6 linked regions of the Macaca fascicularis genome follow. The protein of the gene in region 3 purifies or fractionates together with the protein of the main gene of each other region. This does not show direct contact. Links are inferred from orthologs where the notes say so. Each region holds a gene or a part of one and is shown on either strand. Other genes may lie near its edges.

What was found.
Region 1: the proteins of EEF1A1 (region 3) and VARS1 purify together in Homo sapiens (affinity purification with mass spectrometry; 3 studies listed by BioGRID and IntAct, counting the BioPlex papers as one, with this or other methods). This does not show direct contact. The link is inferred for Macaca fascicularis from reciprocal best matches to the Homo sapiens genes EEF1A1 and VARS1.
Region 2: the proteins of EEF1A1 (region 3) and TUBB fractionate together in Homo sapiens (co-fractionation; 3 studies listed by BioGRID). This does not show direct contact. The link is inferred for Macaca fascicularis from reciprocal best matches to the Homo sapiens genes EEF1A1 and TUBB.
Region 4: the proteins of EEF1A1 (region 3) and EEF2 fractionate together in Homo sapiens (co-fractionation; 3 studies listed by BioGRID). This does not show direct contact. The link is inferred for Macaca fascicularis from reciprocal best matches to the Homo sapiens genes EEF1A1 and EEF2.
Region 5: the proteins of EEF1A1 (region 3) and EEF1B2 purify together in Homo sapiens (affinity purification with mass spectrometry; 3 studies listed by BioGRID and IntAct, counting the BioPlex papers as one, with this or other methods). This does not show direct contact. The link is inferred for Macaca fascicularis from reciprocal best matches to the Homo sapiens genes EEF1A1 and EEF1B2.
Region 6: the proteins of EEF1A1 (region 3) and GAPDH fractionate together in Homo sapiens (co-fractionation; 3 studies listed by BioGRID). This does not show direct contact. The link is inferred for Macaca fascicularis from reciprocal best matches to the Homo sapiens genes EEF1A1 and GAPDH.

The regions. Positions count from the first base shown.
Region 1 is NC_088378.1:139,923,365-139,927,698, reverse strand, and holds part of VARS1 (valine--tRNA ligase), read right to left. Parts: coding exon 4,237-4,334; intron 4,147-4,236; coding exon 4,008-4,146; intron 3,768-4,007; coding exon 3,643-3,767; intron 3,554-3,642; coding exon 3,466-3,553; intron 3,214-3,465; coding exon 3,113-3,213; intron 2,980-3,112; coding exon 2,852-2,979; intron 1-2,851. UniProt on the Homo sapiens protein: Catalyzes the attachment of valine to tRNA(Val).
Region 2 is NC_088378.1:141,932,386-141,937,376, reverse strand, and holds the start of TUBB (tubulin beta chain), read left to right. Parts: upstream 1-1,968; 5' UTR 1,969-2,127; coding exon 2,128-2,184; intron 2,185-3,201; exon of another isoform or gene 3,202-3,315; intron 3,316-4,144; coding exon 4,145-4,253; intron 4,254-4,522; coding exon 4,523-4,633; intron 4,634-4,951; coding exon 4,952-4,991. UniProt on the Homo sapiens protein: Tubulin is the major constituent of microtubules, a cylinder consisting of laterally associated linear protofilaments composed of alpha- and beta-tubulin heterodimers.
Region 3 is NC_088378.1:101,520,936-101,525,699, forward strand, and holds the start of EEF1A1 (elongation factor 1-alpha 1), read left to right. Parts: upstream 1-1,557; 5' UTR 1,558-1,966; intron 1,967-4,395; exon of another isoform or gene 4,396-4,430; intron 4,431-4,764. UniProt on the Homo sapiens protein: Translation elongation factor that catalyzes the GTP-dependent binding of aminoacyl-tRNA (aa-tRNA) to the A-site of ribosomes during the elongation phase of protein synthesis.
Region 4 is NC_088393.1:4,702,798-4,707,882, reverse strand, and holds the start of EEF2 (elongation factor 2), read left to right. Parts: upstream 1-1,637; 5' UTR 1,638-1,720; coding exon 1,721-1,723; intron 1,724-2,742; coding exon 2,743-2,957; intron 2,958-3,851; coding exon 3,852-4,033; intron 4,034-4,124; coding exon 4,125-4,336; intron 4,337-4,570; exon of another isoform or gene 4,571-4,636; intron 4,637-4,721; coding exon 4,722-4,900; intron 4,901-5,085. UniProt on the Homo sapiens protein: Catalyzes the GTP-dependent ribosomal translocation step during translation elongation.
Region 5 is NC_088386.1:102,092,116-102,097,085, forward strand, and holds EEF1B2 (elongation factor 1-beta), read left to right. Parts: upstream 1-1,594; 5' UTR 1,595-1,679; coding exon 1,680-1,759; intron 1,760-2,279; coding exon 2,280-2,402; intron 2,403-3,038; coding exon 3,039-3,165; intron 3,166-3,569; exon of another isoform or gene 3,570-3,648; intron 3,649-3,728; coding exon 3,729-3,795; intron 3,796-3,921; exon of another isoform or gene 3,922-4,051; intron 4,052-4,181; coding exon 4,182-4,307; intron 4,308-4,430; coding exon 4,431-4,585; 3' UTR 4,586-4,630; downstream 4,631-4,970. UniProt on the Homo sapiens protein: Catalytic subunit of the guanine nucleotide exchange factor (GEF) (eEF1B subcomplex) of the eukaryotic elongation factor 1 complex (eEF1).
Region 6 is NC_088385.1:7,455,494-7,460,290, forward strand, and holds the start of GAPDH (glyceraldehyde-3-phosphate dehydrogenase), read left to right. Parts: upstream 1-1,329; 5' UTR 1,330-1,474; intron 1,475-1,646; 5' UTR 1,647-1,663; coding exon 1,664-1,692; exon of another isoform or gene 1,693-2,200; intron 2,201-3,000; exon of another isoform or gene 3,001-3,341; coding exon of another isoform or gene 3,342-3,367; coding exon 3,368-3,467; intron 3,468-3,548; coding exon 3,549-3,655; intron 3,656-3,777; coding exon 3,778-3,868; intron 3,869-3,958; coding exon 3,959-4,074; intron 4,075-4,161; coding exon 4,162-4,243; intron 4,244-4,447; coding exon 4,448-4,797. UniProt on the Homo sapiens protein: Has both glyceraldehyde-3-phosphate dehydrogenase and nitrosylase activities, thereby playing a role in glycolysis and nuclear functions, respectively.

The sequences.
Region 1 (4,334 bases), about 38 Mb from region 3:
TAAAACACTTTTTAAAAAGATTTGTCACCTATAATATTACTTTGTATTTATTACTAATTAAAATATTAGCAGTGAAAACAAATAGTAACAGAAAACAGGAGAAACATTTACAGTAACAGGAAAACTACCACACAATAATAAAACACAAACATTTACAATATATAACAAAAAAATCAATACCCAGAACAGGTAAAGAATTCTCAAAAAAAATTAAAAAGAAAAACAACAAAGAATCAATAGAAAAGCAAGCAAAAGATAGATACAGACAATTCACATACGGGTAAACCTGACTGGCCAAGAAATATGGAAATAGGTACAATTTCAATAGTAATCAGAAAAGTACAAAGTAAAGTAACAGAGGTATCATTTTTTTGTCCATCAGATTGGCAAAACTAATTAGGCAACCCTAATGCTCAGGCTTGGAAAGGGTGGGGAAATGAATCCTCTCACAGCAATTCCTGGAGGTATCAATCAGCAAAGCCATTCTGCAGGGCAACCTGGCAGCTTCTGTGCGTACTTAATATAGGTGTGCCCTGCCGACCTAGCAGTTTCACTTCTTGATAGCTACACCAGTGAAACCCTTCCACACATGCTTGAGCAAGCATGTACAGCAGGGGTATCCAATCTTTTGGCTTCCCTGGGCCACACGGAAGAACTGTCTTGGGCCACACATAAAATACACTAACACTGGCCGGGCGCGGTGGTTCACGCCTGTAATCCCAGAACTTTGGGAGGCCGAGGCGGGTAGATCACGAGGTCAGGAGATCGAGACCATCCTGGCTAACATGGGGAAACCCTGTCTCTAGCAAAAATAAAAATGAAAAAATTAGCTGAGTGTGGTGGCGGGCGCCTGTAGTCCCAGCTACTCAGGAGGATGAGGCAGGAGAATGGCGTTAACCTGGGAGGCGGAGCTTGGAGCTTGCAGTGAGCCCAGATTGTGCCACTGCACTCCAGCCTGGGCGACAGAGCGACACTCATCTCAAAAAAAATAAAAAATAAAAATAAATAAATAAAAATACACTAACACTAACGATAGCTGATGAGCTTAAAACACACACACACACACACACACACACACACAATCTTAAATGCTTAAAGAAAGTTTACAAATTTGTGTTAAGCTGCATTCAAAGCCTTCCCGGGCCACAAGTGGCCCACAGGCTGCAGGCTGGACAAGCTTGATATACAGGGATGTGCATTAGAGTAAGGTTTTCAACAACAACAACAACAACAAACCAGAAAGAACCATTAATTAAAAAGTGACTCCAGGCTGGGAGCAGTAGCTCACTCACGCCTGTAATCCCAGCACTTTGGGAGGTTGAGGCAGGCAGATCACCTGAGGTCAGGAGTTCGAGACCAGCCTGGTCAACATGGTGAAACCCCATCTCTACTAAAAATACAAAAATTAGCCGGGTGTGGTGGCAGGTGCCTGTAATGCCAGCTACTTGGGAGGCTGAGGCAAGAGAATCGCTTGAACCTAGGAGGTGGAGGTTGAAGTGAGCAGAGATTGCGCCACTGCACTCCAGCCTGAGCAAAAAGAGCGAAACTCTGTCTCAAAAAAAAAAAAAAAAAGAGTGACTTCACTATGGTATAGCCACACTATGGGATATTATGGAACAATGAAAAAGAAGGAAGTCAGTATGTGTGGTATGTGTGTAAGGACAAGGAAAGATCTCCAAGAGAAAGTGTTAAGTGTAAGAAGAAAGCTAGCGCATAACATGTGTAATGTGAACCCTTTATGTTAAAATATAGAAAAGACTCACCCAAAAGGAGAACTATAAATTTCTATGGGTACATGTATATGTAAGTAAATAGGAAAGATCTGGAAAGATACACATCAAAGTGATAACAATGGCTAAATCTTGGGAGGAAGTAGGTGTGGGGGGGTGGTCAAGGGGATTTGAAAATTTAAATTTCTTATAAGAATATATTCATAGGCCGGGCATGGTGGCTCAAGCCTGTAACCCCAGCACTTTGGGAGGCCGAGACGGGCGGATCACGAGGTCAGGAGATCGAGACCATCCTGGCCTACACGGTGAAACCCCGTCTCTACTAAAAAATACAAAAAACTAGCCGGGCGAGGTGGCGGGCGCCTGTAGTCCCAGCTCCTCAGGAGGCTGAGGCAGGAGAATGGTGTAAACCCGGGAGGGGGAGCTTGCAGTGAGCTGAGATCCGGTCACTGCACTCCAACCTGGGCGACAGAGCGAGACTCTGTCTCAAAAAAAAAAAAAAAAGAATATATTCATATATTTTGGTCAGTTGCGGTGGCAGATTCCTGTAATCCCAGCTACTTGGGAGGCTGAGGCAGGAGAATCACTTGAACCCAGGAGGCGGAGGTTGCCATGAGCCAAGATGGTGTCACTGCACTCCAGCCTGGGCAACAGAACAAGACTCTGTCTCCAAAAAAAAAAAAATATATATATATATTTTTTTAATTAAATTCAAAATAATGTTATTGTTACTAGAAAAAGAAGGGATAGGCTGGGTGTGGTGCCTCACACCTATAATTCCAGCACCCTGGGAGGCTGAGGCAGGAGAATCACTTGACCTGGAGACCAGACTGAGCAACAAAGTGAAAACCCATCTTCACAAAAATTTAAATTAACTTAAATTAAAATTAAATAAAGAAAGAAGGGAGAGAAGAGAGTCTGCAAGTGGCAGTGTTGCATGGGAGTACTGGACTAGGAGAGGAAGCTACATGATCAGATGGGAATGAGAGAGAGAAGTGTAGCGCCTCTGGGGGCAGAGGTAAGCACCAACCCAGAAGGAGAGAGGCTGGGGGGCTGTCAGCCAAGAGGAGAGAGCCAGATGAGGCAGAGGGAACCAGAGGGAGGTGCGGATAGGAGCTCACCATCGAGTCAGGGAGTCCTGGATGGCGTTGGTGAGCGCATGGCCCAGGTGCAGGGAGCCTGTCACGTTGGGGGGTGGGATGCACATCATGAAGACACCTCGGGGATTTGCTGCTGACACATTAGGACGCTGATGGTGGAGAAGGATGGCACATGTTTAAGGCCTCAGGTCACCTCTCCCAGCCCCTCCCAGGCAACACGTCCTTCAGTCCTGCCCTTCCCCACCCCACCCACTCTGGGCCTGGGCAGCAGTGCCCACTCACCCCATACTCTGGCTTGAAGAAGCCCTGCTGCTCCCACCAAGGGTACCAGGCAGCCTCCACATACCGAGGGCTGTAGGAGTCGGGCATGGGGCCACTGACATCTGGGGGAGAGGAAGGGAGGGCTCAGTGCGTGGCTGAGAGCACCAGGAAGGAGACGGGCTAGCAGAGAGGGATCAGGATCTCCCTCTCTGAATGTCGCTTACATCGTAGGACAAGCATTTGAGGGGCCTAGGGGCAGGGGAGGGGGTCTGCAAATCCTCACCAAACAAAGTGGTGAGAGCAAGAACAGAGCAAGATAGGGTGAAAACTTGGAAGGGGCTGCTGAGAGGTGAGCCCCTTCCCACTCCTAGTACCTTTCTTTTCCCCGGGTGGGGTTGGGAGGTCATAGGTAATGACCCCAGGATCCCGTTTCTCCCTCTTCTCTGGTTTTGGTTTCTTCTGCTTGGGAGGGAGAAGACATAGGCCCAGGCATCAGCCACCCCATCACTGCACACAGCAACTTTCCTTCCAGCTCCACCCTCGCCTCTCACCTCCCCTGCAGGTGGCTGCTGCTGTTGGATCTTCTGCTTCTGTTGGAATTTCTCTAGCTTCTCCCGTTTCTTTGCCTCTTTCTTGAGCTGAGCAGCTGTCTTTGGGAGGGCAGGAGTCTCGGGGCCTAGAGAGAAGCACAGAAATTCAGACTCAGCCAGCTGGGGACCCTCTTGGATGGCACTACTAGGTTTCAGATGGGCTATTTCAGATGCCCGAGGTCTCGCCCATGCTGGCCTCCCCCCTCCCCCTCCTCTCCCGCAGGACCCTGCCCCAGTGATTCTGCCATTTCTATGAAAAAAAGAAAGTGAGTTGCATGGAAGGCCCCATGGAAGCCCCTATCCTCCAACTCCTCACCCTGCCTCACCTGGCTGATGAGAGAGAGGCCTGGCCCCTGAGTATAGAACTACTTCTCCCAGCACCGCTCGGAATTCTGGCTGCCGGACACACGTGACAAACCAGCGAGTCACATTATTCCAGATCCGGCGGGCAGGTGGGTCTAGGACCTGGAACACGAAATAAATGACTATTCTCAGTCACCCTATAGTGAGGTTTGAGGGAAGCAGTCTTGTTCTTCCCCAGGCCTGGTGACTCACGTATCGGAAAGGCAGCAGCAAGGCTGTGACAGCCGCCAGGTCAGCCAGAGTAGGGGCCTCCCCGGCCAAGTAGGTGTGCAGCCGAAGCCACTCCTCCA
Region 2 (4,991 bases), about 40 Mb from region 3:
GGCGCGATCTCAGCTCACCGCAATCTCCACCTTCTGGGTTCAAGGAATTCTCCTGTCTCAGCCTCCCTAGTATCTGATATTACAGGCATGCGCTACCACGACCGGCTAATTTTGTATTTTTAGTAGAGTCGGGGTTTCTCCATGTTGGTCAGGCTGGTCTAGAACTCCCAACCTCAGGTGATCCTCCCACCTGGGCTTCCCAATGTGCTGGGATTACAGGCGTGAGCCACCGCACCCGGCCCATTTTATTATCTCACAATAAGACATGAAGAAAATGGTAACTATAACACTTGCATAATTCATAAAGTCCTTTCTGTTGGTTATCTCAATTCTGTCCACAACAGTCAAATAAGCAGATTTTACAAACAAGGAGTTGAAGCCCTGCAAAGTAAAAGGATTTTCCTAGGATCCTACAGCTAATATAGAGACAAATTGAAACAAGTTATCTGATTGTGTATTTTGAGTTATTTCCACTCCCACAAAATGACTGTTTTCATTTCCCTAAAACATAGAGCATTATATTTTAAGTGGGAAGAGAGGGCTTACACAAGTTGATGTTCCCTTATTTAGAAGGCAACTTAGAAATACATTGATCTGCCCGCCGCGGTGGCTCACGCCTGTAATTCCAGCTCTTTGGGAGGCTAAGACGGGCGAATCACGAGGTCAGGGGATTGAGGCCATCCTGGCTAACATGGCGAAACCCTGTCTGTACCAAAAATACTATATATATATATATATATATATATATATATATATATATATATATATATATATCTGTGTGTAATCGAATGTGAATGAACAATGATGTTGACTCGATACTACATTTCTGAGTGGCCAGACTGCAACATCCTGGAGGACAGGGAACTAATTATTAATCATTTTGTAACCATAGTTCCTAATTTGGTGGATACATAGTAACTATCAAATAAGTGAATAAATCTCTGGGAAGAAGCTGGTGGACTCTGTCTTGAGCCCATCCAATTTTCCCCCATCAATTTCCCCTCTCTCCTTTTTCAATACTGGGTATCTTGCAGAGTTGCAATGGCGGCCACCTGGTCAGTGAAATAAGCGAATTGAAAAACCACTGACTTCATTAACATGTATAAAAAGGTAGGCTGAAAAAACTGAAAATCTATCAGGCATCTCATTCCATAGTTCCCTGTTTGACAAGAAGATCAAGGTGTCTTCAAAGTCTGCCCTAAGGCCCAGATCTCCTACGTGGATGGAGACTTCTAGTTTCACAAATCCCCGATGTCGGTTTCTCTAAACTATTTTATTCTTTGAACATACTCTCCAGACAACATCTCTATCCTGAAAAGCCCTTGCTGCAATTTTGTTTCTCTTTCAAAACAATGACTCGAAAATTTCCAAGGAAATAGCAAGAGGGCGATTCCCTTCTTGAAGTATTTGAGAGAGCAGAAGCTTACTTAAGTTCATGACTTGGGTCACCAAAGGCCAGAGGTAGCAGAGCACGGTGCCACACTCCTCCCCATTTTTCGCTGAGCTAAGCAATTCTGTCTTCCCTAGAGGTACTGCAGCTGGGAGCTTTTAGGGCGTACCTCACCACCCAACTTCTGGAACCCCAGACTTCTCAATCCCTGCATCCCCGGGAACTGCTCACTTTTTGTACAAAAACCTCAGGCACAGAGGAAAGGAATCTTGCGCAAGGTCGTTTTTCATTTACAAAACAAAAACCCAACAAAAACCAAACCGGTACCCACCCATTCGTCACTTCATTTTGCACCGTGAACAACAATAGGGGACTACAACTCCCAAAGAGGACTGCGCTCGTCCACTGGCTCAGAGGCCAATGGACGCCTGGTACATGACCGGCATCGACTAATCAGGGCCAGGCTCGATGAGGCTTTGTCTCCCGACCGCGCGCGGGGCCGATTCTCCCGCCTCCCAGCCCCGGCGCACGCGCGCCCCGCCCAGCCTGCCTTCCCTCCGCGCCCTCCCCTCTCCTTTCTCCCTCTCAGAACCTTCCTGCCGCCGCGTTCGCACCTCGCTGCTCCAGCGTCTGGGGCGCGTTCCAACCTTCCAGCCTGCGACCTGCAGAGAAAAAAAATTACTTATTTTCTTGCCCCATACATTCCTTGAGGCGAGCAAAAAAAATTAATTTTAACCATGAGGGAAATCGTGCACATCCAGGCCGGTCAGTGTGGCAACCAGATCGGTGCCAAGGTAAGAATTTTACACCTCTTTTATTTCTTTTTAGAAGGAAAAATCCAGGTAAGTTATGAAAAAATGGTTGTGGGGCATTTGCACTCTCCATTCTTAATCAAGCTTTGCCCCTCCCAAGTTTGTTACATTTATATATATAATAACTAGCATTTGCTTTTGGAAAACTGGGAATCATTTTTCTTGGCAGGCACATTTTGGAGAAACTAGTAAAAGGGCTCTTCGGGTTTCGGGGGCGGGAAGACCAAGGACATATGTTACTTAAAAGGGCTTCTAACGGTCCAAGAACCGGGCAGGGAGAGAGATGCGGAAACAGTCGGAGACAAAGCGGGGCGAGGTTTTGCCCATGTGCATCCCGCCCAGCCCCCCCTGCGGGGTTCTTAGGGCCAAACGGGAGCGGGAAGGGGTGAGGCTGTCGGGCGGCTGCAGAGAGCTCCAGTGCAAAGGTCGGGGGGCGATGCGCCAGGGTGGGCTGCGCTGGGCGCTACCATTCACAAAAGATCAGGGACCCCAGGGCGCCCGCGACCCCGGAGGGCCGGTCCTGTAGTTGTTCCGGGGTGGAAGGAGAATAAGAACGGGATTAATTTTTCTTGCTTTCATGGCACCTAAGCGAGACCTCTTTAGGGCGTGAACTGATATGTCGAGAAAATGGGGGTGTGTGGTTTTCTTTAACGAGTCCTTCAGGACTTAATGGGAGAGAAAGAATGCTTTAAATCAAGGGGGAGAAATCTAGCAAAGGAATAAAATTCCGAGGCCAAGGGTTTTTTTTTTTTTGCGCGCGGTTACAGTGTAGCGGGGGAGGGGCGGGAGGAAGTGCGGGTGCTACGTTGTAGCAGAAGGGCGGGGCCCTGCGGGGCGGGGCCAGGGCGCCGCTGGCGCGCGGGGACAATGCGGCGTTGCCCGCCGGGAGGGGCGCGCTACCCTGGGCCCCGCCCCTCGCGCGGAATTCTTGCCCCTGGCCCCGCCCACGTGCGAAGTCTTTTGTCGGCGGCTCGACCTGCGCGTGCGCCGCAGTCACGTGGAGGGTGGGGGGTGGTCGACTGCGGCAGCAGCTCTTCTAGTGCCCCGAGCCTTTTGTGCGCCGCGCGGTGGGGCGGTGCCCAGCTCGGGGGAAGAACAGCGGCGCTTATCCAAGTATGGTCGACCTCCATCCGCCCACCGAGCACTTGGGACCCGCTGCACATAATCCCGAGCCGGGAAAGCTGTGGCTTTCCCGGGGGAGCGAGTGTCTAGGGGAAGGGTGTGGCAGGCACACGGGATGCCAGGCCCTAGAACAACGGCCTGAGCGCGTGTGGGATTAAAATGGGAGATGTGGGGCTGAGGCGGGCTAATTGGGATCGCTCCCGCTCAGGGGTTTGAGACCATCCTGGGCAACAAAGCGAGACCCCTCCCCCCGGCCACATCTCTTCAAAAAAAAAAAAAAAAAATTAACTGGGTGTGGTGGCGCGCGTCTGTGGTCCCAGCTATTCGAGAGGCTGAGATGGGAGGATCGGTTGAGCCTGGGAGTTTCAGGCTGTAGTGATCCGTGATTGCACCACTGCACTGCAGGCTGGGCAACAGAGGAAGACCCTGTCTTAAAAATTAAAAGAAGCTGGGCGCGGTGGCTCACGCCTGTAATCCCAGCACTTTAGGAGGCCGAGGTGGGCGGATCAAGAGATCTAGACCATCCTGGTCAACATGGTGAAACCCGTCTCTACTAAAAATACAAAAAATTAGCTGGGCGTGGTGGCGCGCGCCTGTAGTCCCAGCTACTCCGGAGGCTGAGGCAGGAGAATCGCTTGAACCCGGGAAGCAGAGGTTGCAGTGAGCCGAGATAGCGCCATTGCACTCCAGCCTGGCGACAGAGCGAGACTCCGTCTCAAAAAAAAAAAGAAAAAAGTTAAGAAAAAGATGAAATAAAATGGTAGTTGGGGACGTAGTTGACTGGGACTTGACTTGTGGTCTCGTTGCTCCTGCCCGGCAGTTCTGGGAGGTGATCAGTGATGAACATGGCATCGACCCCACCGGCACCTACCACGGGGACAGCGACCTGCAGCTGGACCGCATCTCCGTGTACTACAATGAAGCCACAGGTAAGGGCAAGAGCCCGGGCAGCTCAGGTTCCCCTTCCCTGTCTCCCACTTCTCTGGGGTCTCTTTCCATTCCTGGCACGCCTTATCCCCTTTCGGTGAATCTATCATTTTCTCCCTTTTGTGAACCACCGTCGGGGCCAAAGACGTCTGCTGCCACCTGGTGGCAGGACCTGGAACAAGTCTTGGGTCCCTGCTGTCTTCCATTCCCAGTGTATCTATAAACCTTTCCCTCTGCCAGATCTCACAGCTCTTAACTTTATTCTTTATAGGTGGCAAATATGTTCCTCGTGCCATCCTGGTGGATCTAGAACCTGGGACCATGGACTCTGTTCGCTCAGGTCCTTTTGGCCAGATCTTTAGACCAGACAACTTTGTATTTGGTAAGTTATACAGATGATATTAGCAGATGATATACTATCGTGTTCAACTTATTTGGGTGCAAGGACACAGCAAAAGTTAGGAGATGATTGTTGTACTGGAGTGCTAAGAACTGTATTCTGAAATCTAATGGAGGGTAGAGGTAGGGTAGAGGTAGTGCCTGCTGTTGCTGGTACATTATGGGGCAGTGGGGGGAGAATACATCACAGTGAAGGAGAAAGAAGATACATCCAAGGGAATTATTTCTAAAGTTGAAAGATGGAAACATCATGTATCTTCCATACCCTGTTAATTGAGCTTTTCTCCTGACTGCATTCCAGGTCAGTCTGGGGCAGGTAACAACTGGGCCAAAGGCCACTA
Region 3 (4,764 bases):
TGGTAAGGGTTAGGACCAGCTCTCTGATCAGATTACCCTGGTTCCAATCCTGATCTGCTGGGCCCTAAGGTATCCACGAAAAAAGATCACCAAGCTGTATTAGGTGAAAAAAGCAAGGTGGCACATTGTATTTTACCATTTTGTGCAAAAAGAAGGTAAAATTTTTAAAAAGAATATATGTCTATATTTGCTTATTATGCATAAACTATCTGTTGCCCATTGCTGCTCCATCTATACCATGTGGGTGGTAGGATTACAATAAATATTGCAAATACTAGAACAGTGCCTGTCACACTAAAACACCATTTTATTTGGATTCTCAGTCCAAGTAGTTCCTTGGCTTAATCATATTCTAAAATACCCCTTTAAATATATATATATATATATATATATATATGTGTGTGTGTGTGTGTATACACACACATATATATATAGTGTTTTTCTGAGATGGAGTCTTACTTTGTTACCCAGGCTAGAGTGCAGTGGCACGATTTCTGCTCACTGCAACCTCCTCCTCCCAGGTTCAAGCGATTCTCCTGCCTCAGCCGCCCATGTAGCTGTGATTACAGGTGCACACCACCATGCCTGGTTAATTTTTGTATTTTTAGTAGAGACGGGAGTCTCACCATGTTAGCCAGCCTGGTCTCGAACTCTTACCTCAGGTGATCCACCTGCCTCAGCCTCCCAAAGTGCTGGGATTACAGGCGTGAGCCATCACACCTGGCTATCATCTTTTCTTCAGCGGTAGATACAGCAGATAAAAAGATTTAAAAATCATTTTCACGTGGCAAGCCATGGCAAAATGTAACTACTTAAGGCTGCTTTAAATTAGACTAATAGCAGAGTGATTAGACTATATTGAAAGCTCAGTGAATCACAATTATGTACCTCAAAGAAGGATTCTTGTTTGCCTTATTACTATGTAAATAACTGAAATAATTGTTTTTCTTCCTAAAAGGGGTCATGTAGATGTTTACTTACAATGTATTTTAAGTTTGTCACTCTAAATGGTTATGAGCAAGCGAGACCGTCCTGGCTAACACGGTGAAACCCCGTCTCTACTAAAAATACAAAAAATTAGCCGGGCGTGGTGGCGGGCGCCTGTAGTCCCAGCTACTCGGGAGGCTGAGGCAGGAGAATGGCGTGAACCCGGGAAGGGGAGCTTGCAGTGAGCCGAGATCGCGCCACTGCATTCCAGCCTGGGCGACAGAGCAAGACCCCATCTCCAAAAAAAAAAAAAAAAGGAAAAACCTTCAACAAATATCACCTTAGATTATAACCCCAAAACATATTTACGAGCCTCAACATCATTACTGTTACCGCTTTAACATTTAAGACAGTAAAAAGCATAATGGATCTCCCGTACGGTGCGGGGAATCCGTTATGATTATGTTGAAAACATAGGGTCTGGGGAAAAAGGGATTTAAAATAAGAAGGAAAAAAAAGACTTGAGACTTAAAAAGTTTTTTAGAGGCCAGCTCACGGTGACAAAAACCGACCCTCACCCCGAGCCACGTGAGGTTTTCTGCCTCCTCCCTGGCCTTTCCTTCCGCAGTCAGAAGGCGGAAGAAAAGCGACCTCAAGGTGGGGGGAGAGACAGGGCGGACCCTGGCGACCTGACGCTGGGGAGGCTCGAGTGGCGGATCCATACCGCTCAGCTGTTCGCCGCGGGACCCCGCCGGCCCGCAGGTGACCCAGCGCTGGAGAAACGCCAGCGATGTGGCCTGGCGAGCTGGCGCGGCGCAAGGACCACCCGCGCCCGCCTTGCCGCCCCAGCCTCCCTCCCTAGGAAGCCGGGCGCGCCGGGTGAGCGCGGGGCTTCCCCGGGACCGGCGTTCCAGTCCCTCTCCAGCTTCCGGCCCACCCCTGCCGGACTGAGAGCAGATATGTGATCTCTGCCCTGAGAAAATGCTCGTGGCCAGCGACTACCCCAACGCACAATAATACGGCTCCGATGGGCTCAAAGGTATTGGTTTTTTGTTTTGTTTTGAGACAAGGTCTCACTCCGTCACCCAGGATGGAGTGCAATTGCGTGATCTTGGCTCACTGCAACCTCCGCTTCCCGGGCTCAAGCGATTCTCCTGCCTCAGCCTCCCGAGCAGCTGGGATTACAGGCATGCGCCACCACGCCCGGCTAATTTTGTATTTTTAGTAGAGACAGGGTTTCACCATGTTGACCAGGCTGGTCTCGAACTCCTGGCCTCAAGTTATACGTCCGCCTTGGCCTCCCAAGGTGCTGGTATTATAGGCATTGAGCCACGGCGCCCGGTCCAGTGTTGGTTCTTAAACGCAAGAATTGAGATCTCCCTTCACCTAATGAAAGTCTCTATCGCAAGCCACTATCGCAATACTCAGAACACCCAGTCGGTGTTGCGCAATAGGTTACTAAGGTATAAATCAAGGATTCATGTAATTTTGCCATTCCTTGCGTGATATTTTAAAAAACATTCTCTGTAAGGTATTTATAAAGCGTTTACTATTATCCGCAATCACAGGGGCTTGAGGAAAAACTTTTGACTGTGGCTGGGCGCTGTGGCTCACGCCTGTAATCCCAGCACTATGGGAGACTGAGGCGGGTGGATCACTTGAGGTCAGCAGTTCGAGACCAGCCTGGCCAACATGGTGAAACTCCGTCTCTTCTAAAAATACAAAAATTTGTGGGGCGCGCTTGTAGCCCCAGCTACTCCGGAGACTGAGGCAGGAGAATAGCTTGAACCTGGGAGGCAGAACTTGCAGTGAGCCGAGATCGCGCCACTGCACCCCAGCCTGGGCAACAGAGTAGGACTCCATCCGGAAAAAAAAAAAAGGAAAAAAAAGTGGACTGTGAAAACCGAATGGACTAGGAAAACTTTATACTACAAAGATACAAAAACCAAGAAAGCACCATACGCGTTTGCCTTTAACTGCTTCCCAACTTGTTTTCCTCTTCCAATTTGATTGTGGGTTCCTCTCCAGAAGGAACTCCACAGTACTTAGCGTTGGCCACATAGTAGGTTCTCAAATACTTGTTAATAAATAAGTTTGTTCGAGAAGCTGGGCAGTAATATTCTACAGCTGGAAGAAGAAACATAATGATCTAGTAATTAGCTCATTAAAAATAAACGTTCTTCATTCCTCAGAGGAGCATTTCCCAAGGCCTGTCTTGATAGCCATCCAAAACGGCCAAGCTCATCCAATCTTGCCCTAGATTTATGCTAAAATGCAGTTACAATCTATAGGATGACAGAAAAAGAAAGCACTTATTTAAATATAATAGGCACTTATTTAAATAGGAGAAGCTGTGACTTCATAGCAAGTGTTGGGGTTAGGAAACTGGGTGGATAAACTTGCTGATGCTGTAGATCTTAGTCTCTACATGAGATCACGTGGAAAATCTGAATTTGAAAGCTTTTTAGCTTCCTTATGTTTGCAATCAAATGACTGTACACCTTTTAATTTAAAAAGTACCATGAGGCACACACACACTCGCAGGAACTTTTTGGCGTAACAAAACTAGAATTAGATCTAAAGCTAACTGTAGGACTGAGTCTATTCTAAACTGAAAGCCTGGACATCTGGAGTACCAGGGGGAGATGACGTGTTACGGGCTTTGATAAAAGCAGCTGGCTTTGAATGGAAGGAGCCAAGAGGCCAGCACAGGAGCGGATTCGTCGAGCTCACGGCCATCGAGCCGAACCTCTCGCAGGTCCGTGAGCCGTTAAGGAGTCCTCCAGTCCAGACCCTTCGCCCCAAGCCCCTCGGGGTCCCCGGGCCTGGTACTCCTTGCCACGCGGGAGGGGCGCGGAAGCCGGGGCGGAGGAGGAGCCAACCCGGGGCTGGGCTGAGACCGGCAGAAGACGACGCTCTAGGGATTTGTCACGGACTAGCGAGATAGCAAGGCTGAGGACAGGAGGCTGATTGGGGGGCGAAGGTACACCCTAATCTCAACACAACCTTTGGGGCTAAGCTAGCAATGGTAGAGGAAAGATTCTGGACGTCCCTTCCAGGCCGCCACCTCGTCGCCTCCCCCTCCCCCTCCTCTTCCCCCCCCGCCCCGGCCGGAGCTGAGAGTAATTCATACAAAAGGACTCGCCCCTGCCTTGGGGAATCCCAGGGACCGTCGTTAAACTCCCACTAACCTAGAACCCAGAGATCGCTGCGTTCCCGCCCCCTCACACGCCCGCTCTCGTCATCACCAAGGTGGAGAAGAGCATGCGTGAGGCTCCGGTGCCCGTCAGTGGGCAGAGCGCACATCGCCCACAGTCCCCGAGAAGTTGGGGGGAGGGGTCGGCAATTGAACCGGTGCCTAGAGAAGGTGGCGCGGGGTAAACTGGGAAAGTGATGTCGTGTACTGGCTCCGCCCTTTTCCCGAGGGTGGGGGAGAACCGTATATAAGTGCAGTAGTCGCTGTGAACGTTCTTTTTCGCAACGGGTTTGCCGCCAGAACACAGGTAAGTACTGTGTGTGGCTCCTGCGGGCCTGGCCTCTTTACGGGCTATGGCCCTCGCGTGCCTTTTATTACTTACACGCCCCTGGCCGCTGTACGTGATTCTTGATCCCGAGCTTCGGGTTGGAAGTGGGTGGGAGAGGTCGAGGCCTTGCACTTAAGGAGTCCCTTCGCCTCGTGCTTGAGTCGAGGCCTGGCTTGGGCTCTGGGGCTGCCGCGTGCGAATCTGGTAGCACCTTCGCGCCTGCCCCGCTGCTTTCACTAAGTTTCTAGCCATTTAAAATTTTTGATGACCAGCTGCAACGCCTTTTTTCTGGCGAGATAATCTTATAAATGCG
Region 4 (5,085 bases), on a different chromosome or scaffold from region 3:
AAATGCCCCCACCTTGCAAGGAAAAAACGGCTGCGAAGCGCCCAATAGGGAACCCAACACGTAGTAGGTGCTTAGTGCATTTAAAGATTTTGAAGAATTTTATTATTAAGAACGAGAAACGGAATACCTCTCTGCTCAAAACTCAGCCCCCAAATGGCGCATGCGCTTGACTTGTAACTTAACATTAAACGCGTCACCGGCACAGGTGTAGGTGGTTAGGGACCCCGGGCGCTCACATCTGCTCCCTGCCATGCCATCTGCCTTTCGGAGCCTCAATTCTTTCAGAAGATACTTTCCGTTTTCCATCGGGTTAAATGGTGATAGCAATAGCAATCATCCATTAAATGAAAACCAAGGTTGAGACAGCGCTTTGTAAAGCAAAGTGCCCGAAGCATTTGTGAGGGGGAGGAGTGTACAGGTTTATTTTAGAGTCCAGGCTGGAATTTGCATTGCTTTTTGTGGATCCACACCTCCCCCTCTCTCAGCCCAGGAAAAGCACTGCAGTGGCTCTTCTGTTTCACAAAGTGAGTTTAGGGAAAGACGTGCCGCAGGGGGTTCATTTGCACTGCGAGAACATCATTCATGCAAGAAATACTGAGTACCTACTATGTGCTAAACAGCGGGCTGGGCTTTTCATAAGGAATAGAGATACTCAATTGAATGCCAATTCATGAGCTATGAAACACATTCAACTGTTTCTTAGGGTCAGATTAGGACACAAATGCTAAACAGTCTTCCTGCGCCTCCCCCTGGAGAGGAAATGAACTAGAAAATGAAATTGTGCCAGTAAAGCGCTTAGCCGGGTGCCTGGGACATGGCAAACCAGTCCTGAAATAAATGTTTTATTAATAGCAATCTTAGCTAATTAAAATACATAGCGTTTATTGAGCGTTGGGTATCAGGCACGGTGCTAATTCTTTTAGATGTCTTTAGTTCGTTTTAGCCCACCTCAAACAATAGAGTGGTATTGATCACCTCCGATTTACAGACGAGGAAACTGAGGCAAAGAGAAATCCTAGTAGTTAGTAGAAGTGCACGCAGTGTGGTCAAGCTAGCAAGGTGTTTTGTCCACTGCTGTATCTACAAAACCTCTAACAATGCCTGGTGCATAGATGCTCAGTATGCATTTGTGGGATCAGTGATTCCGATGCCTGCTTCTTATAAATCTTTTTATTTTGAAATAATTGCAGGTAAGGAGTTGAAAAACAGTATAGTCGTCGCGAGTGTCCTTTTTCCTTCTGCTTCTCCCAGGGATATCGGCTTACATAACAACGCCCAAACCGGGAAATTGACTTGGGTAAAATCCACAGACTCTATTCACCTTGCAATGTGGCTTTAATAGAAGTGCTGGACATTTTGTAAGCTGATATCGTTGCTATGGTTCTTATTCTCAGCTAAAACGGCGCTCTTTGCTTTGTGCACCTGAACACTGCACACCGAGGGCGACCACCATCCCCGAGACGCCCAGACTGTATCCTAAATCAGCCTCGCCAGCGCCGAATGGGTTAACGGGGGAGTTGTGCGGGAACGCCTCCGTGCGCTTGCGCGGCGTCACTTCGCCCCGCCTCCGCAGCGCAGTCACATGACCCGCCCAACCGGCGTCCGCCTATAAAGTGCTGAGTGTTGACGTCAGCGTTCTCTTCCGCCGTCGTCGTCGCCATCCTCGGCGCGACTCGCTTCATTCGGTTCTACCTGGGAGAATCCACCGCCATCCGCCACCATGGTGAGTAACCCTGCCTCGCTGGTGTCCCGGAACGGCGGCGGGACCTCCGCGGGGCCGACGCTGCCTAGACGCTGGGGTCGCCCGTGCCGGGAGGAGACGTAGCGGCGGCAGAGCCGGAGGAGCCGGGGCTGGGGCAGCGGTCGCCGCCATGTCTGTGCGCCGCACTGTTCACGGAGCCCCTTCTCCGCTTCCGGGGGCGCCGTAACCTTGCCCAGACCTGGCTGGAGCTGGGGTGTTAGGGAGGATGGGGGTGGGGTATGATGATGTGGCAGGCGTTGTAATGGCGGGCACCGCGGTGGAAGCGGGGAGACGGGGAGGCGCCTTATGTAACTCGCGGGCCGCGAGTTTGAGATCGATTTTCTGCCGGGGGACTAGGGGCGGCAGGGAAATGGCAGAACCAGCAAAGCGACACCTGAAAGGTTCCCCTTTTCCTCCCAAATATCTTCTCCTGATGCTGTTAACTGTCGGCCCTAGGCGCTTGTCCTTGTGACTCCGAAATGTGCAAAGACTCGTTTTGAGACACGAGGTGTAGGCTTGTGGCTGTTAGGGCCGTTCCGGCTCCCCGTTATCTCCTGGGGTGGGTGGCCTTGTGTGATCCCTCTTGCCGAGGGGTGACCTTGCATTTTATTATGACAGTTTTTGGTCGGGGAAGCCTGGGTGGCCCGATGACAACGTGGAGGGGGCTTTGGGAGAAGGTTCACCCCTTGCGTGTTTGGCCTCTAATAACTCTTCAGTGTTTATATGCGGTATCAAGGAAATCTGTTGCCACTGAGTTTTATTTCTGAGCGCTTTTATTTCTGGGTTGTCCGTTCTGGATGACATCTGTTGACAGTGGATCCTTGGAGATTGTGGGGTAGTTCTCAAGGCGTGTTAGGCTGGCAGGATTGGGTGGGCTTCGGGTACCCCAACACCAGTCCCCTCCTGGCCTTGGGCATGCTGGTTCGTTTGGACCGAACGCTCCATGCCAAGCCGTGTTCCTGGAAATCTCGAGCTGGTCTGAGCCTCCCCTTCTTGCCCAGGTGAACTTCACGGTAGACCAGATCCGCGCCATCATGGACAAGAAGGCCAACATCCGAAACATGTCTGTCATCGCCCACGTGGACCACGGCAAGTCCACGCTGACAGACTCCCTGGTGTGCAAGGCGGGCATCATCGCCTCGGCCCGGGCCGGGGAGACACGCTTCACTGACACCCGGAAGGATGAGCAGGAGCGTTGCATCACCATCAAGTCAACGTGAGCTCCCCGTGCCCTCTGTACCCAGGCAGGGAGGTGTTGGCCTGGCAGCTGGAGGCCACTGGGCCAGGGTGGGCGGGGAGAGACTAGGCAACGTCTCTTTCTCCTGGTTTCTTAATTCATGGGAGAATGAGTGAGGTTCAGTCCAGCGAGACGGGGATCAAGAGTCACAGGGATTGGGGGTACTGCGAGCCGGAAGATTTTCTTGAGAAGGGGCTTCACTCAGTGGTTCTCCTTCCCTGGGGGACTTGCCGCCACTCCTACAATATCTGGAGGGGTTTTGCTGTCACACCTGGAAGGGGGGGTGTTCCTGGCACTCAGGATGCGGGAAGCTCTTGTGTTGCACTGGATGGCGTTCATTCCGTGACAGTTTCTGGCCCCTGACGTGAGTGGGGTGAGAGTCTAAAACGTGAGCGCAGAGCACAGTGATCCCAAATGCCTTTTGTCCTGGGTTGGCACCATAGTGAGGGTCTCTGGCTAAAGCTCTTCATTTTCACTGGAGCAGGGGCAGAAGTGAGGAGGGAAGGGTCAGAGTCTCTGAAGGCTTTTGCTGTCCTGCGGGGTCTTTTCATTGCTACTTTGAGTCAGGTGTGATGAGTCTTGGGGGGACCAAGTCGGTGGGGCAGAGTGTCTGGTCAGGAGGGCTCTGAGTAGCTGGCTGTGGGGCTGGTACCAGGAGTTCCCTGTCGGGGGGGCGGGGGGCCTGTCTCGGACAGAGTATTGTGGAGGCAAAGGACAAGGGTGGGTTGGGTCTTGTGGGTGGGTTGGGTCTTGTGGGAGCCTCTCAAGGGATGAGTCATGGAGGGAGGAGCAGCCTGGCTTCTGACAGCATCCCAGCCTCCCTGGGCCAGGTGTGTGCATCCTGTCCCCCTGATGGATCCCTCCCTCCATCAGTGCCATCTCCCTCTTCTACGAGCTCTCGGAGAATGACTTGAACTTCATCAAGCAGAGCAAGGACGGCGCCGGCTTCCTCATTAACCTCATCGACTCCCCCGGGCACGTCGACTTCTCCTCGGAGGTGACCGCTGCCCTCCGAGTCACTGATGGTGCATTGGTTGTGGTGGACTGCGTGTCAGGTAAGCAGCGGGTCCCCCTGAGGCAGGGCCTAGAACCCGGGGCCTTCCCTGTTTGAGGATGACAGCGCCGCCCCGTGCCCTGCATCCCTAGGCGTGTGTGTGCAGACGGAGACAGTGCTGCGGCAGGCCATTGCGGAGCGCATCAAGCCTGTGCTGATGATGAACAAGATGGACCGTGCCCTGCTGGAGCTGCAGCTGGAGCCCGAGGAGCTCTACCAGACCTTCCAGCGCATTGTGGAGAACGTGAACGTCATCATCTCCACCTACGGCGAGGGCGAGAGCGGCCCCATGGGCAACATCATGGTACGGCCCTCCCTGGCTGGGTGGTGTGCCCGCCGCAGTGGGCACCGCAGGAGCTGGCGGGGAGCGGAGTTGAGCTGAGGGGACTGGAAGTGTGTTTTTGCCAGGAATGTTGGGGTGACAGAGAAGGGGGCTGGAATGTTCTCAACCTTCTTGACCCAGCCCTTGATCTTTGGGCAGCTGGAAGTGGCGAGCGCAAGGAACGGTGTTGTGGGTGGTGGAGGGGCTGGCCCCCTTGTTCGTGATGACTGATCATTTCTTCACTTTGACCTGATGTCTACTGAAGAAATCCAGCGTCTGAGGCCCATGCCTGAGGCACCTAGTCCGCAACTGCAGGCTCTGCCCAGGGGCCCTCCTCACAGTCGCTTCCCATTTCTCATACTTCCAGATCGATCCTGTCCTTGGTACCGTGGGCTTCGGGTCTGGTCTCCATGGGTGGGCCTTCACCCTGAAGCAGTTTGCGGAGATGTACGTGGCCAAGTTTGCTGCCAAAGGGGAGGGCCAGTTGGGGCCTGCCGAGCGGGCCAAAAAAGTGGAGGACATGATGAAGAAGCTGTGGGGTGACAGGTGAGCCCTGTGGGGTATGGTTGTGGGGTTCCTGACACCTGGGGGGAGTGGCATCGCCCAGGGTTGTGGTGCCATATTCACAGCACGGCTCAAGCCCACCAGTCACCCCAGAGAGTCTGGCCCAAGCACGTCCCCTTGGCGATCCTCCCGCCCCCCCGCCGCATGCCTTGGAGGCCCTAACTTGA
Region 5 (4,970 bases), on a different chromosome or scaffold from region 3:
CCACACTATTCCCACACAGCCCCTCCCCTCTTGACACTGGCAGTGACCTCGGACTGAAATGTTCTTCCCTGGCCCCTCCTTATCCTTCAAATCTTGGCTTCGAAGCCTTTTCTCAGTTTCATTGACCAGCCTATCTAACATTTCCTGACGATTCCCCAGAATATCACCCATTTTATTCTTCTTTACGGACTCATTTCTGGCTCGTAGTAAACGTTCAGTAACTGTTAAGTGAACTGAATCTCTAATTTCTGGTCGTTAATTTGTAGGGACCACTTTCCCGGATTTAAAAAGTGCAGGTGCTCTGGCAGCGTTAAGTCGGTGAAAACAAGAATATTCCGCAAAACAAAAATAACCTGTTTATTCATCAAAAAGTTATTGTTACACTTCTATACTGTCAATTCGTGTGTGAAGCTGTGTCTGATCCAAGACCTCACAGTACAAGCATAGATCCCAATAACTTGTAAACAATATTTTGTTATTCGCAATGCAACCCTGAGCTAACTTTTCAAAAAGTCATTTTTCTCAATTTCCCGTTAGTGAAAGGAATTTAAAAATTCTGTCCAACGTGGTCAATGGACAAAACAAATAAGGACAACAGAAGCGTGAGCCACTGCTAACACAACAGCGACCAAACAATCATGTACTGTACCAGGCGTGTAAAAATCTGGGGGGAAAGGCTCAGTCTTAAGGCTTAAGTCATCGGACACTGGTCCTCTCCCGGGGAATAAAACGGCCTCCTCTGAGAGGGGAATGTCCTGAATTTTCCCTGCAGAGGGAAGGTCACCTACAAGCCCGCATTCGGGCCAGCGCTCCCGAGGGCCCCCTAATCCTCATCTTCCTTTCTGCTCCATCAGACCAGAGACCGTGGCTAAAAGCCCCACTTGCCGGCTCTCAGAGGCTTCCGAGGCGGCGGGGCGGGAGGCGGCTGCCAGTCAAGGACAAGAGAAGACTAAGTCGCGTGGGCCAAAGGAAACAGTCCCGTCAATAAATAAGCCTCTGACCCATGCACCTCACCCTTCCCATCCATACAAGACCTCACCTTCTCCCCGGAGCCGCGGAGACTGTTCTGCTAAACTGTCTGGACCACAACTACCCCCTTGGAGGCCGGGTCGCTTACTCAATATGGCGGCCTCAGCTAACTCTGTCAGCCGGGCCTGGAGAACGGAAAGCCCGGAGGGACTAGAATCCTTGCATTCGATAAGTTTGTCGGCAATTTCCGTCAGCCGACCAGAGGGCGGAGCTGAGGTCGGCCCAGCCCGGAGGCGGGAAGGACAACTTGGACCCGCAGTTCCGCCGGAAGTGGCCGGCAGCCTCGAGGCCGAGCGTCTTCGGTCATCTCCGGCGCTTCTAGGGGCGGTTCCCGTCATCTTCGGGAGCCGTGGAGGTATGAACTTAAGACATGCCCATTTTATTAATTTATTTCCAAACGCAACGAAAGATCCAGGGACAATTTGTGAGCCGTTTAATTCAGGGCCCCCAATTCGTACGTGGAGAAGTGGGAATGCTAACGTACTTTGACCTTTAACCTTCGGTCCGGCGTGGTGGAGGGAAACGCCTCCGTCTCTATATAAGGAATTTTCCGGCTTCTCCGGGCCCTTTTTCCTCTCTTAAGCGCGGGGAGCCCACAACTTGTGCGCTCTCTTTCTGCTGTTTCCCAGCTCTCGGATACAGCCGACACCATGGGTTTCGGAGACCTGAAAAGCCCCGCCGGCCTCCAGGTGCTCAACGATTACCTGGCGGACAAGAGCTACATCGAGGGGTGAGCGGACCGGCTGAGTCGGGGTGGTGGAGGGGTTTCTGGGACCGGGGCCGGGGCCACGTGGCGCAGCGTGTCGGCTGCCGCTGGAGGGAGGGAGACCGGGCCCCAGGGCCCTTTCGAGGATGACGGGAAAGCGCCCCGTGGCCATCTCCCAAGGCCCTCGTGTGGTGCGAGCCCGGCCTCCGGGGAGCGGCTCACGAGCAAAGGAAGGTTAAAATGTGCTTTATTTACACTTAATTCAGCCAGGTGTTTCCACATCGCTGCCCAGTTAATACATGTTAGGTTGTAGATAGAGCAACGTTAGAGATTGCAGTATTTGAGGTCTGCAGACATTTCTCAGGATAGCGCGGTGACCCAAACATATGGTTTGATTTTAAGGAGATAATAAGAAAAGAAAAGCATTAAAGCAATCCTACTGGAGTTAGTGCCCACTAATTAATGTGATGCATAGGCACTGATTATTTATTCGCTGGCGTTTGTTTTTCAAAGGTGTGTGTGAATGTCTCTGTGTCATTGGCAGGTATGTGCCATCACAAGCAGATGTGGCAGTATTTGAAGCCGTGTCCGGGCCACCGCCTGCTGACTTGTGTCATGCCCTACGTTGGTATAATCACATCAAGTCCTACGAAAAGGAAAAGGCCAGGTAAAATCATCTTTGTATCTAGCTGAAGAATAAGACTACTCTCGAAGCTTTATCAGGATGTTCACATGACAAAACTAGACCCAGGCTACTTTAGTTTTGTTGGGGTATTGTAAGCTAAATTTTTCTGTAACCTGAGAAGGCCAAGAGACTGAAGCCCTCCATTTTTTCACAGAACAGGTAGAACATGGACAGCAGCAATTCAACTTTTCCCCACACTGCCCTGCCAATGTGCCTCGACCTTGACCTGGGGGGCCCACCTCTGGGGTGAGAGGGTGGCTCATTCATTCAGTCCTTGGCCATTCTTCTGAAACTGCCAACAAGGGTGGAAGTTTGGGGAAGTGGACTCCAGTTCACTAAGAATGGAACTGAGCATACTTAATGAAATCTCAAACAGAAATGTTCATACTGAAAGAGTAAATCATAGTGAGTATTGAAAATAATGTCTCACATGGTACTAATGCTTGTCGGGTGAGGAGTTGAACATATGATAGTGTTTACCTGGGAGCATGTGAAAGGGTAAATTATTATTGCAAAAGGGATCTAGTGATAAGTAGTGATTAAAACAAGTTATTTTGTATTGTCTGGAAAAGTATGTTATACTAGCTCAATAGTGGTTGAATTTAAATGTTTTTCAAGCCTGCCAGGAGTGAAGAAAGCTTTGGGCAAGTATGGTCCTGCTGATGTGGAAGACACTACAGGAAGTGGAGCTACAGATAGTAAAGATGATGATGATATTGATCTCTTTGGATCTGATGATGAGGAGGTATGGCATCTTCTATAAAGAATATATCGGCCAGACACGGTGGCTCACGCCTGTAATCCCAGCATGTTGGGAGGCTGAGGCGGGTGAATCACGAGGTCAGGAGTTCAAGACCAGCCTGACCAAGATGGTGAAACCCTGTCTGTTCTAAAAATTTAAAAAAATGTGGCGGGTGTCTGTAATCCCAGCTACTCAGGAGGCTAAGGCAGAGAATTGCTTGAACCTGGGAGGCGGAGATTGCAGTAAGCCGAGATCATGCCACTGCACTCCAGCCTGGGCGACAGAGCAAGACTCCGTCTCAAAAAAAAAAAAAGAATACATCGATCAGCAATTTTATCAATGTGGTTAAGCCAAATTGCCTGGATTTGAATCCTGGCTTTAACTTATATGCCTTTTTCAAATTCTGACTGGTTGCATGATGAATAAAATCAAATCACCATCTTTCGGCTGAGTTCGTGATGGATTTGCTTTTTTCTGATTAAGCCAGTCTTTTTTGTGATGACCCCACTAGCTTTAAGCAGAGGACAACCGACTTTCTGAAGTGGATTAATTTTTTTTCTTTACAGGAAAGTGAAGAGGCTAAGAGGCTAAGAGAAGAACGTCTTGCACAATATGAATCAAAGAAAGCCAAAAGTAGGTCATTTGTTTTTAACTTCATTTCATGATAATGTAAGTAATCTTTTTCAAAGCTTGACCTTTAAGTAATTTCCTCCACATTCCTTGAACAGGTCAATATTTTAAAACCTCCTGTAGAAGTTCTTCCACAGCTACTGGTCTGCAGCTGTTCTTATGGTAGCAGTTGTGGCATTCCTCTGTGGGAAAGAAACTGTTAACACAAACACCTCTTTCTTAGCAAAACAGAAAGTGGGCATATGTGTGACAGACACAAGATGTATCTGTAGTTTTGTTTGGCTAAGGAGATAGTCAATCTCAAAACAAATTGAGGTGATTTGTTTGTGTCTTGGAGTAAGGTAACAAAATACAGTTCATTATTTGAATAATGCTGTTTATTTTTTTAGAACCTGCACTTGTTGCCAAGTCTTCCATCTTACTAGATGTGAAACCTTGGGATGATGAGACAGATATGGCAAAATTAGAGGAGTGCGTCAGAAGCATTCAAGCAGACGGCTTAGTCTGGGGCTCATGTGAGTTTAGGCTTTGCCTTTTTTTTTTTTTTTTTTTGAAACTGACATCTGGAATTTGTATACAGCTTCAACCTTCCTCTACAAGACTTTTCTAACTAAGATTTTTCTTAATGCTCTTTTTAGCTAAACTAGTTCCAGTGGGATATGGCATTAAGAAACTTCAAATACAGTGTGTAGTTGAAGATGATAAAGTTGGAACAGATATGCTGGAGGAGCAGATCACTGCTTTTGAGGACTATGTGCAGTCCATGGATGTGGCTGCTTTCAACAAGATCTAAAATCCATCCTGGATCATGGCATTTAAATAAAAGCTTGAAAGATTACCTTTGGCTCTTGAGTATGTTACATAGGAGGGTGGTGTATATATTCCTTTCATTTTGAGGGAAGGAATTAAATGAATATGTGATTCCTAAATAATAAAAATTTGGTTCGGCTTTGTTGTTAGAAAATTGTAGTGCAGGCCAGGTGTGGTGGTTCATGCCTGTAATCCCAGCAATTTGGGAAGCTGAAGTGGGTGGATTGATACCAGGAGGCTAATACCAGCCTGGGCAATGGGGAGAGATCCTGCCCCTACAAAAAAATACAAAAATTAGCTGGGCTTGGTGGTGCACCCCTGTATTCCCAGCTATTGGCAGATTGAGGTGGGAGGATTGCTTGAGCCCA
Region 6 (4,797 bases), on a different chromosome or scaffold from region 3:
GCAAAGATTATCACCAGGCGGGCTAAACTTAGCAAACGGCTTTTAGCTAGAAGGGCAGGGGGCTGGTGTCAGGTTATGCTGGGCCAGCAAAGAGGCCCAGGATCCCCCTCCCATGCACCTGCTGATGGGCCAAGGCCACCCCACCCCACCCCCTTCCTTACAAGTGTTCAGCACGCTCCCATCCCACACTCACAAACCTGGCCCTCTGCCCTCCTACCAGAGAAATGGATACCCTGTGGGAAGGGGCAGGGGGCCTGTTCCCACCATGTGCCCAAGACCTCTTTTCCCACTTTTTCCCTCTTCTTGACTCACCCTGCCCTCAATATCCCCCAGCGAAGCCAGTGAAGGGGAGTCCCTGGCTCCTGGCTCGCCTGCACGTCCCAGGGCGGGGAGGCACTTCCGCCCTCACGTCCCGCTCTTCGCCCCGGGCTGGATGGAGTGAAAGGCACACTGTCTCTCACCCTAGGCAGCACAGCCCACGGGGCTCCAGGAGTGACTTTGTGGGAGGCCTCTGGGCCCCCACCAGCCATCCTGTCCTCCGCCTGGGGCCCCAGCCCGGGGAGAGCCGCTGGTGCACACAGGGCCTGGATTGTCTGCCCTAATCATCAGGTCCAAGCTACAGGGCTGCAGGACATCGTGACCTTCCGTGTAGAAACCTCCCCCTCAAGCCGCCTCCCGAGCCTCCTTCCTCTCCAGGCCCCCACTGCCCAGTGCCCAGGCCAGGCCTCGGTCCCAGAGAGGCCAGGAGCCAGGAGATGGGGAGGGGGAAGTGGGGGCTGGGAAGGGCCCACGGGCCCCTCCTAGCCCTTTGCTTCAGCTATTCCGGTGTCACTACCGCAGAGCCTCGAGGAGAAGTTCCCCAACTTTCCCGCCTCTCAGCCTTTGAAAGAAAGGGGAGGGGGCAGGCCGCGTGCAGCCGCGAGCCGTGCAGGGCTCGGGCTCCAATTCCCCATCTCAGTCGCTCCCAAAGTCCTGTTTCATCCGTGCGTGTAAGGGCCCCCGTCCTTGACTCCCTAGTCTCCTGCTGCCCACACTCCAGTCCTGGGAAGCAGCACCGATCACCTCCCATCGGGCCAGTCTCAGTCCCTTCCCCCCTCCGTCGGGGCCCACACGCTTGATGCGTGCCCAGTTGAACTAGGCGGCTGCGGAAAAAAAAAAAGAGCAGGGAGAAAGCAGGGCCCCGCTACTCGCGGTTTTACGGGCGCACGTAGCTCAGGCCTCAAGTCCTTGGACTGGGACTGGCTGAGCCCGGCGGGAGGCGGGGTCAGAGTCACCGCCTGCCGCCGCGCCCCCGGGTTTCTATAAATTGAGCCCGCAGCCTCCCCCTGCGCTCTCTGCTCCTCCTGTTCGAGAGTCAGTCGCATTTTCTCTTGCATCGCCAGGTGAAGACGGGCGGAGAGGAGCCCGGAGGCTAGGGACGGGCCTGAAGGCGGCAGGAGCGGGCGTGGGCCGGACGTGTTCGCGCCGCTGCGGGGTGGGCGCGGGCCAGGGTCCGGGTCCGGGCCCGGGCTGCCTCCGCATTGCAGGGGCGGGCGGAGGACGTGATGCGGCGCGGGCTGGGCATGGAGGCTGGTGGGGGGAGGGGAGGGGAGGCGTGGGTGTCGACCGGGACCACTAGGCGCTCACTGTTCTCTCTCTCCGCGCAGCGCATCCCTGAGACACCATGGGGAAGGTGAAGGTCGGAGTCAACGGGTGAGTTCGTGGGTGGCTGGGGGGCCCTGGGCCGCCCGCAAACTGCGTCTACGAGCCTTGCGGGCTCCGGGTCTTTGCTGTCGTATGGGGTAGGGTAGCTGCGTCCGGCAAGGAGAGCTCAAGGTCAGCGCTCGGACCTGGCGGAGCCCCGCACCCAGGCTGTGGCGCCCTGTGCAGCTCCGCCCTTGCGGCGCCATCTGCCCGGGGCCTGCCTTCCCTAGTCCCCAGGACAGGAGGTCCCTACTCCCGCCCGAGATTCCATCCGACCCGGACCCCTAGCTGGGGACGCTTTCTTTCCTTTCGCGCTCTGCGAGGTCACGTGTCGCAGAGGAGCCCCTCCCCCATGGCCTCCGGCACCGCAGGCCCCGGGATGCTAGTGCGCAGCGGGTGCATCCCAGTCCGGAGGCTGCGCCTGCGGTAGAGCGGCCGCCATGTTGCAACCGGGAAGGAAATGAATGGGCCGCCGTTAGGAAACCCTGCCGGTGACTAACCCTGCGCTCCTGCCTCGGTGGGTGGAGTCGCGTGTGGCGGGGAAGTCAGGTGGAGCGAGGCTTCCCGGCCCCTGCTCTCAAGTCGGCCCCTGAGCTGCAAGCCCTATTTCCCCTCCGGGTGATGCTTTTTCTAGATAATTCTCTGGTAAATCAAAGAAGTGGGTTTATGGAGGTCCTCCTGCGTCCCCTCCCTCCAGAGGTGTGGTGGCTGTGGCTTGGTGCCAAGCCGGGGGGAGCTGAGTCATCGGTAGTTGGAAAAGGACATTTCCACCGCAAAATGGCCCCTCTGGCGGTGGCCCCTTTCTGCAGCGGCGGCTCACCTTATGGCCCCCTCTTCCCCTGCCAGCCTAGCGTTGACCCCCCACCCCAAAGGCCAGGCTGTAAATGTCACCCGGAGGATTGGGTGTCTGGGAGCCTCGGGAAACCTGCCCTTCTCCCCATTCCGTCTTCCAGAAACCAGATCTCCCACCGCACCCTGGTCTGAGGATAAATATAGCTGCTGACCTTTCTGTAACTGGGGGCCTGGGCTTGGGCCGTCTCCCATCCCTTCTCCCACACACATGCACACACCTGTGCTCCCACTCCTGAATTCTGGAAAAGAGCTAGGAAAGGACTGGAAGCTTGCAAATTAAAGCCCTGGGACTAGGGGGTTAAAAAACAACTTCCCCTCTTCCCCCGGCCCAATCTCTGTCCCTTTTGTAGGCGGGACTTAGAGAAGGGGTGGGCTTGCCCTGTCCAATTAATTTCTGACCTTTACTCCTGCCCTTTGAGTTTGGTGATGCTGAGTGTACAAATCTTTTCTCCTTAAACGGTGCAGTTTGAAGCTGAGCTAGGCAGCAGCAAGCATTCCTGGGGTGGCATAGTGAGGTGCTGAATGCCACGTGCAAAGCTTGTGCCCAGACTGTGGGTGGCAGTGCCCCACATGGCCGCTTCTCCTGGAAGGGCTTCCTATGACGGGGGGTGTTAGGCAGCAGTGGAGCCTTCAGTTGCAGCCATGCCGTAAAGCCAGGCCAGCCTGGCAGGGGAGCTCAAGGGAGATACAATTCACCTCTTAATGGAGGTAAGGAGATGCTGGGGGTAAGGAGATGCTGCATTCGCCCTCTTAATGGAGAGGTGTCCTAGGGCAGCTCACATACTGTGGAGAAGCCTCCTCTCCTCATGCCTTCTTGCCTCTTGTCTCTTAGATTTGGTCGTATTGGGCGCCTGGTCACCAGGGCTGCTTTTAACTCTGGTAAAGTGGATATTGTTGCCATCAATGACCCCTTCATTGACCTCAACTACATGGTGAGTGCTGCCCCAAAGCTGATGTGGGAGGAGCCACCTGGCTGCCAGGCAGCCCCTTCACACCCTTGCGTATTCCCCCAGGTTTACATGTTCCAGTATGATTCCACCCATGGCAAGTTCCATGGCACCGTGAAGGCTGAGAACGGGAAGCTCGTCATCAATGGAAGCCCCATCACCATCTTCCAGGAGTGAGTGGAAGGCAGTGGGAGAAATGTGCTGTGGGGGGCAGCTAGGGTGGTGCGGCTCCCTTGGGTACATGGTAACCTCGTGTCCCTCAATATGTCCTATCCCTGTCTCCCCCACCCCATAGGCGAGATCCCTCCAAAATCAAGTGGGGCGATGCTGGCGCTGAGTACGTCGTGGAGTCCACTGGCGTCTTCACCACCACGGAGAAGGCTGGGGTGAGTGCAGGAGGGCCCGCGGTAGGGGAAGCTGGCTCAGCCCTGCAGAGGCAGAACCCGGGTTTATAACTGTCTACTTCTCTGCTGTAGGCTCATTTGCAGGGGGGAGCCAAAAGGGTCATCATCTCTGCCCCCTCTGCTGACGCCCCCATGTTCGTCATGGGTGTGAACCATGAGAAGTATGACAACAGCCTCAAGATCGTCAGGTGAGGAAGGCAGGGCCGGTGGAGAAGCGGCCAGCCTGGCACCCTGTGGACACGCTCCCCTGACTTGCGCCCCCTCTTTGTTTGCAGCAACGCCTCCTGCACCACCAACTGCTTAGCACCCCTGGCCAAGGTCATCCATGACAACTTTGGTATCGTGGAAGGACTCATGGTATGAGAGCTGGGGAATGGGACTGAGGCTGCTGCCTTTCTCATGCAGGGCTGGCTCCTCCTCCCGGCCAGGGCTGCATGCAACCCTGGGGGCTGGGCCTTCTGGGGACTGGCTCTCCCATAATTTCCTTTCAAGGTGGGGAGGGAGGTAGAGGGGTGGTGATGTGGGGAGCACTCTGCAGGGCCTCACTCCCTCCTTTTCCAGACCACAGTCCACGCCATCACTGCCACCCAGAAGACTGTGGATGGCCCCTCCGGGAAACTGTGGCGTGATGGCCGCGGAGCTCTCCAGAACATCATCCCTGCCTCTACTGGCGCTGCCAAGGCTGTGGGCAAGGTCATCCCTGAGCTGAACGGGAAGCTCACTGGCATGGCCTTCCGTGTCCCCACTGCCAACGTGTCAGTGGTGGACCTGACCTGCCGTCTGGAAAAACCTGCCAAGTACGATGACATCAAGAAGGTAGTGAAGCAGGCGTCGGAGGGCCCCCTCAAGGGCATCCTGGGCTACACTGAGCACCAGGTGGTCTCCTCCGACTTCAACAGCGACACCCACTC